Linked DNA regions of Ovis aries. The protein of the gene in region 1 binds, or shares a complex with, the protein of each later gene. Links are inferred from orthologs where the notes say so. Each region holds a gene or a part of one and is shown on either strand. Other genes may lie near its edges. The genes, in order: PPP4R4 and PPP4C.

Evidence for each region.
Region 2: PPP4R4 (region 1) and PPP4C share a complex: the UniProt entries of both Homo sapiens proteins name them as parts of the PP4 complex. The link is inferred for Ovis aries from reciprocal best matches to the Homo sapiens genes PPP4R4 and PPP4C.

The regions. Positions count from the first base shown.
Region 1 is NC_056071.1:56,643,442-56,647,352, reverse strand, and holds the start of PPP4R4 (serine/threonine-protein phosphatase 4 regulatory subunit 4), read right to left. Parts: upstream 2,495-3,911; 5' UTR 2,370-2,494; coding exon 2,250-2,369; intron 757-2,249; coding exon 683-756; intron 1-682. UniProt on the Homo sapiens protein: Putative regulatory subunit of serine/threonine-protein phosphatase 4.
Region 2 is NC_056077.1:26,718,481-26,721,623, reverse strand, and holds part of PPP4C (serine/threonine-protein phosphatase 4 catalytic subunit), read left to right. Parts: intron 1-1,168; coding exon 1,169-1,220; intron 1,221-1,262; exon of another isoform or gene 1,263-1,427; intron 1,428-2,150; coding exon 2,151-2,201; intron 2,202-2,416; coding exon 2,417-2,518; intron 2,519-3,096; coding exon 3,097-3,143. UniProt on the Homo sapiens protein: Protein phosphatase that is involved in many processes such as microtubule organization at centrosomes, maturation of spliceosomal snRNPs, apoptosis, DNA repair, tumor necrosis factor (TNF)-alpha signaling, activation of c-Jun N-terminal kinase MAPK8, regulation of histone acetylation, DNA damage checkpoint signaling, NF-kappa-B activation and cell migration.

The DNA.
Region 1 (3,911 bases):
CCTATATCTGAAGTATTTTTACATATTCATTAAATGCTCACATTAGCTTTTAAACTTAAATCCACAGCACAATTTTTAAAATAGCTGAAAGAAATCTTGTAAATATTTGTCATAACCATTTGGCGTAAGCAATTCTGTAGAGCTTATGAGATGAACCTTAACTGAGAGTAGACTCAATTAAATTTTAAAATCTCTTAGGCAAAATTATAAAGCACACATAGCAAAAGCAATATAAACAGGTTATCCTGAGGAAAAAAATTGAACTACCATATTTGCGGATTTTTTTCTGCAAATACCATATAAAGTTCAAACTCTAAAATTAACTTAAAATTAATCATTGGATATTCTTTAAATTCATCTAAATTTACTGGCTCTTATGTGAACACAACCAAGGCTGCAAGATATTTTTTTTTAAGAGATTTAACTCAAATCATGAGTTGTTCTGTTCCTCCTCCAAGCAATATTCTATAAGCTAAGTACCTTACTTGATTTCAGTTCTGAAATTCATAAGCCCACATCTAAGTCTAATTTATGACATAATTAAGTACTGTGCATGCAAAGTACTCTGTTCAAGTGGTTAAGTAAATCTTAACATAACCGTAACATGACATTTCAGAAATCATTTGTGGATGCTGCCACAGGAAAAGAGAAGGAATTATCACAAAAAGACTTTACGAAATACCTGAGCAGATAAACAGCCCTTTCAATATCACTGAGGTCTTCATCAACTGTCAATCTTTCTATTTCTTCTGGTGTCTGTCAAGTGTAAAACACAAATTATGCACACAAGCATCAGCTCAAGTCTTGCCTCCAGGGACCCTCCACGAGTGCAGACTAATGAAAAACTTTCGCAATTAAGCATTATCCTTGAAAACTAATTAAGGGGTCTGCCACCCTCAAATCACAGATATCTCTAATGGTTGGGTTTAGGTGGTGGAGTTTGGGGGGGCTCTGGGGCTTTTTTTTCCCTTTTGTTTACTCTTCTAGCTTCTAGACTGAAGCCTGAGAAACACAATGTGACTTCAGAACCTTGCTGAAATCAATTGTATGTGCATATGTAAAATATGTACGTAGTTTTCATCTCTAATATCTAAGAGTGTTTTGCCAGCATTTCCATCCCAGGAAATGCTTAAAAGGGGTGGGGGGGGGGGATGAAGACTGCAGCCAGCGGAGGGAGAATGAGAAAGACGAAATCTGGATTGGGGGAGGGAATGGAATAAACTCTGGGGCTGGAAGGAAATCAAAGATATTGCGGCAGGTGGGAGCGAAAAGAGCTAAAGGTGCAATTGCGGGGGTCGGTGGTCGGTCAACTAGGTTTGGCAGCAGTAAGGGTTGGAGCCTCGGGAAGCAAGATGACTTTGCGGGGTGGGGGAGCTAGTGGCAGGTCGGGGCGGGGGGGGGTGCCTAGTGAAGGCTGAGGATTGGGGAGCAGGGTCTCTGCTAAGAGTCTTGGAGGGGCTGGAAGGAAGGGACACGTGGTGACTCAGGATCGGGACAAAGGGTCGAGAGGGCTTTGAAGACGGAGAGCAGGACGACTCCAGGATGGGTGTGGGTGGGTTGGGAGGTGAAGTGGGGGCCTTGGGCTTGCTCATATGAGGACGGAGGTGGGAGGGGGGGGCGGAGTGGGATCTGAGGTATCTCTGGAAAAGGCAGCGAGGAGAGTCGGGGCCGTGTTAACTGAAGACTGGGACTAGGTCCACAACCCCGGGCAGCAGCAGCACCAGGGAGCCGAAGCGGGGGGAGGGGGAGCCCCAAGGAGAGGACGCGGGAGGCAGCGGGCTGCGGCTGTGAGGGGCAGCTCCCGCAGGGCCCAGGAGGAGGGGGCCGCGGCGGAGGGGCCCCGGGCCGTGAGAGAGGGACGGCGCGGGAGAGGACGCCGAGCTGGCCCGAATCGAAGGGGCTCGGCGGGCCGTTCCTGAGGTGGCCGGGTTGGGGAAAGGGCCCGGGGCGGGCAGGGCCGGGACGGGCAACTGGAAAAGCCAGAGCGTCTGAGGGGTCGCGGGCTGGTCCCGGGCGCCCGTACCTCAGGGCTGGGGGTCCAGGCTGGGAGAAGCCGAGCCGCGTCGAAGAAGGGGGGCCCGAGAGGGGTCGGGTTAGGGTAACACGGCCCTCGGGGACTGAGGGGGGCGGGGGCGGGCAGCAGGACTCTGAGAGGGTCCCGGGCCGCCTCGTGAAGCGAACGGGCGGGGGTCGGGGCAGGGGCCAGCCGCCGGGCGCCCTGCGGGCAGTTCCTCCTCCCCGGGGCGCACCTTGAGGCTCCGGCGGACCGGCCTCTCGATGATGGTGAGCTCCTGCAGGTCCTCCATGTAGCCGAACAGGCTGTTCTGACTGAAATCCATCGCGGTGGCGGCGGGCGACGGCGGATGCATGGACCGCCGGGCCCCCTCGCTGCCCGGGCCGGAGCGGTCCCGGGATGCCGGACGCTCACAGCCCCGCGGCCGCCCACCAGCAACACTTTCTCCCGCTCTCCGCCGCCGGAGCCGGGCGGGAGGCTAGCGGGCGGCTAGCTGGCGGCGGGAGAAGGAGCGCGGTCGCCGAGGGGGCGGGGCGGCCAAGGCGAGGGGGCGGGGCGAAGCGCGCGGGCGGGCTGTGGGGGCGGGGCCGTGCCGGGGTAGGTGCCCGCCTCGGCCCCACCCCCTCCCGGGCACCCGCTGCCGGCGGGCCGGACGCAACTGCCGCTCCGCGTCCCCTCGCCGCCCTCCTCGCCCCTTCGCCCCGCCCCCGTCAGAGTGCGCGCCTGCTGTAGTGCATGCGCAGAGCCTCCTACCTACTGCAGCCGGTGGAGGTGCTGTGGGGTCTGTAGACCCCGGACGGAGATGAACCAATAAGTGAGGGAAACAAAGGGGAAGGTGGGTTGGGATCTTGGTTAACTTGCCGGAATTGTGGTGCGGTTATTCGTGGGACCGCCCACCCCAGCGCACGAGCTGGGTAACTCTGCTTTGTCCTTGGGGGAGGGTTGTGTACGAAAAATAAGCAAATAGAACTTGGGGTGTGCTAGGTTGTTGGGACGGGTGATCTGGGAATACAGTCCTGGAGGGGTTAACGTAGGGAGGGCAGCCGTCAGAAAAAGGACTCCTGAAGACACTTAAAACTGAATTTTAAAACAGGATTTTTCCAAGAGAAATTAGAGTAAGCGGATTCCGGGTTGAAGCCTGAGCGTCTATATGGTTGTAGAAAGTGCGAAGTAGAGCTTGGAGTGCAGGGAAACGGGTGCTTGACAAGGTAGAGAGGTAGGTCCTTAATGGAGAAGAGTCCAGGCAGCGACGTTGAGTTGCTTGCATTTTTATTCTGTTACGAGTGGGAAGCGATGGGAGAAGTTAGGGCAATTTGGGGGGACCTCAGAGACAAGAGTTTTGTTGATCATACTCTTCAGCGCCCGAGAGTCAGCAGGACCTCTTTTTTTTATTATTATTTTCCACTCATTCCCTCTCCACGGTCGTTTCTCTACCCGCCTCCTGTATGCATTCTCTCTTGTTTGATGTGTCCCAGTGCATGTATGTATCCTCGAAAGACAGTGCTTTTGGTTTAAGTATCTGTTTCGAATATACATGAATGCTGTTGTGATAAGAACTCATTCTGTACTTTTTTCCTTCAACATAATGTCTAAGAGAGCTATTGGTGGGGCTTATCATATCAGGAGTTCCTTAACTGTCCTTTAAAAGTATTTGAATTGGGGATCTAGCACATTTTACTTATAAGTTCTTTAAATAATAAACTGGTTGCCAGCAGTACCTTGTTATCACAGAAATGCTGGAATGGGTATTACATGTGTCTCTCATGGACCTTGAGGGAAGAAATGGAGTTGCTTGCTCATAGAACCTACACTGCTTGGTTTCAGTCTGCCCTGGTACTCTCTAGGATGGCTTTGCACTCCACCAATGAAGATAGGAAGGTTCCTGTCTCTCCATTTT
Region 2 (3,143 bases), on another chromosome or scaffold:
CCTCCAGCTTTGTGACCTGGATCCTGCCCCTTTTCTCTCTAAACCTCAGTTTCTTTGTCTGATGAGGATGGGAAGAACCTCCCAAGTCAGTTGGAAAAGTATTGTAAGCAGTGGTGTGAGGATGTTTGGTACAAGATGCAGGACAGGCGGGAGAGCCTGGTTGCTCTCTGGCCCCTTGTATCACCGCCAGTGGCTCTTCCCATTCCTGGAAACCAGGGCACACCTCCCTGGAGCTGCCTTAGTTATGCAGTGCACCCTGAGCCCAGGGAGCTCCTGGTCTGGTGGGAAGGGACTGGCCGAGAGAGTGATGGCTGAGCAGGTGCCTCCCACATCAGACTCGCTTAATAAGAGCCAGACCCCAGAGTAGGCCGCCTTGGTTCAGTTCCTGTCTGTGTGGCCACAGCCGCTTTCTTCATCTGAGCCGTGGGAATCATTATAGCACCTGCCTTTGAGGGTGGTGGTTTGAGTGCCCGCATCATCCATGCAGAACTTTTTTAACGACTGACCTGGCACGTGGTGCGAACTGCTGCGTCCTTGGCTCCTCTGATCGTCAAGGACGAAATCTGGAAGCACAGCGCTACTTAACGTTGGGTGTCCGTAATGGGCAGTGATTTACATGTCAAGCTCGTTCAGGTAGAAGTAGATCACACTGCAAGGAAAGAGGGAGCACAGAGTCCTCGCTTCCTCTGAATGATAGAAGAGTGGCAACAGCATATCGCCTTGAAGGTGGATCTGATGGCTGGCCTGCCCAGGGCACCACCCTTGTGCCCAAGAACATTCCAGGGGAAGAAGGCCCCTGGGGTGGGGAGAGAGGGGCTGTAAGAGCCCAGCCAAGGCACTGTGTGGACAGGAGGAGGAGCTCTTGTCTTCTGGGAGTCGTTGCCAGATGTGTGAAAGGGAGCAGCCAGGAGGGTCAAGGTCAGGAAAGTCCTAGACTCCTTGGGAAGGCCTTGGATGCTGAACAAGAGCTGGGGCTTTGGCCTGTCAACTGTGGGGAACCACAGAAGGGTCTCGAACTTGGGGGCTGTGATTAGCCTTGCCTGGGGGAATTGTACACCTCCCACCTGCCCTATGGAGGTTCACGCCTCATCCTCTCTTCCCCTGCAGAAAAGGTCAGAAATTGGGTTGGGCTGGCCCGGCTCTGGTAACTTTGGTCTTCTGTCTCCAGAGAGATCTTGGTGGAGGAGAGCAACGTGCAGAGGGTGGACTCTCCAGTCACAGTGAGTTCCCGCTGTCCCCCCACAGCCTAGCTCGGTCTGTTAGGCCTGTGGGCGTCCTCCTTAGTCTTGTGGGCTCCAGGGTCTACCCCTCATCCCTGGGAGCCCCATCTTCAAGAGAGCCTTGCTAGAAGAAATGGTGGTTGTGGGCATGGTCTTTGGAGTCACTGGAGGGATGCTCTTGGCCTGGGCAGAAGGACTCTTAATTTGGTGAGTGAGTGAACTCCACGTGTTCCTGTGTGTTACTAGTGACTTTATTCTGGGTGTCTGGAGGGGAGTAGGGAGAGGAGGAGGCCAGGTTCTCTGGGAGCTGCAAGTCTAGCTGGAAAGAATTTGCTCTAGCTCTTGCCCACAGAATAGTTGGCACTCAGAGTGGGATGGGGGGATTGGGGTGGGAGAGGAGATTCTCGACTCTGGGAAGTAGAAGCTTTCAATCCAGGGAAGATCTCCTAGAAGAGGAAATGGTAACAGCTCCATATTCTTAGCTGGAAAATTCCACAGACAGAGGAGCCTGGTGGGCTACAGTCCATGGGGTTGCACAGAGTTGGGCATGGCTGAGCACATACACACACTCTCTCTTGGCTTGGCCGAGATGGATAAGGATCTTCTAAAGCAGGGACTTCCAGGTGGCTCTTGCCCTCTGAGAGGTCCCACATTCTGTCTGTGGAGTGTGTTTCTCTAAATAAATCCATTTCTTACCCGTAAATAAATGAAGCCAGGACTTCCCTGGTGGTCCAGCAGTTAAGACTCTGTGCTTCCACTGCAGGAGTTGTGGGCTTGTGGGTTTAATCCCTGGTGGGAACTAAGATCCCATGTGCCATGCAATGAGGCCAGAATTTTTAAAAAAAATAAAGCAGTAGGGTGTTTTTGAAGGACAGCCCCTGGCAGAAAGGCTTTCAGACTCTGAGTTCTGACCTGCCTCCTCACTTCCAGGTATGTGGTGACATCCATGGACAATTCTATGACCTCAAGGAGCTGTTCAGAGTGAGTGTGGGGAATGCCAGGAAAGGTGACCCAGGGGATGACTGCAAGACCCCTTTAGTTGAGAGTGGAGACTTTGGTGATGGGGTTGGGGGTCAGAGGCCTCTAGTTAGGTAGGCCCATTGTGGAAGAAGGGCCTCGACTTGACTGGAAATGGGCCGGTGCAGTGGGTTGGGGCGAGTTTAGGACCAAGCTGAACCTTCTTCCTCCCTCCCCAGGTGGGTGGCGATGTCCCTGAGACTAACTACCTCTTCATGGGGGACTTTGTGGATCGTGGTTTCTACAGTGTCGAAACGTTTCTCCTGCTGCTGGCACTTAAGGTGGGAACCCGCTGGCTTCTGGAGCCAAGACCTGGTCTGATTTGGCCTGCATCCTTTCTGCCCTCATTTCCTGCCCCATCTGCCCCCAAGTCTTGAGCTGTGCTGCTGGTGATAGACCGTTGCTGCTTGGGTGGTCAGGCAGCTTTCCTTGACTTGGGGGCATCTGATGAGGTCGAGGTGGGGACGGCATCATAGCGGGAAGGAAGAGAGGCTCACCCTGTTCAGAAAGTGGCCCGAGTGGAGTTCAGCTGGATACAGTATCCATTGGTAGGAGAGAGGTCGTAAGAGGCCAGATAACAAGGTGCTCTAAATGTCTTGCTAAGGGCTTGGTCCATACCTGGTGGATGAAGGAGGGACGGTTAGGTTTGTAGTTGAAGTGGGGGGTGGGAGGGAGTGAGAGGATTTGGCTTTGGATCCTCTGGAGGTGGGTCGGGGTGCCCGTGAGGTGAGTGTGGCACGATCCGGGCAGAGATGACTGGAATCTGGACTGGGGCGGTGGTGACGAGGGTGGAGCAGGGCTGGCAGACACGAGGACGTCGAGGAGGGAGGGACAGGCCCTGCATGGTGACTGCCTGCAGGTTCGCTATCCTGACCGCATCACCCTGATCCGGGGCAACCACGAGAG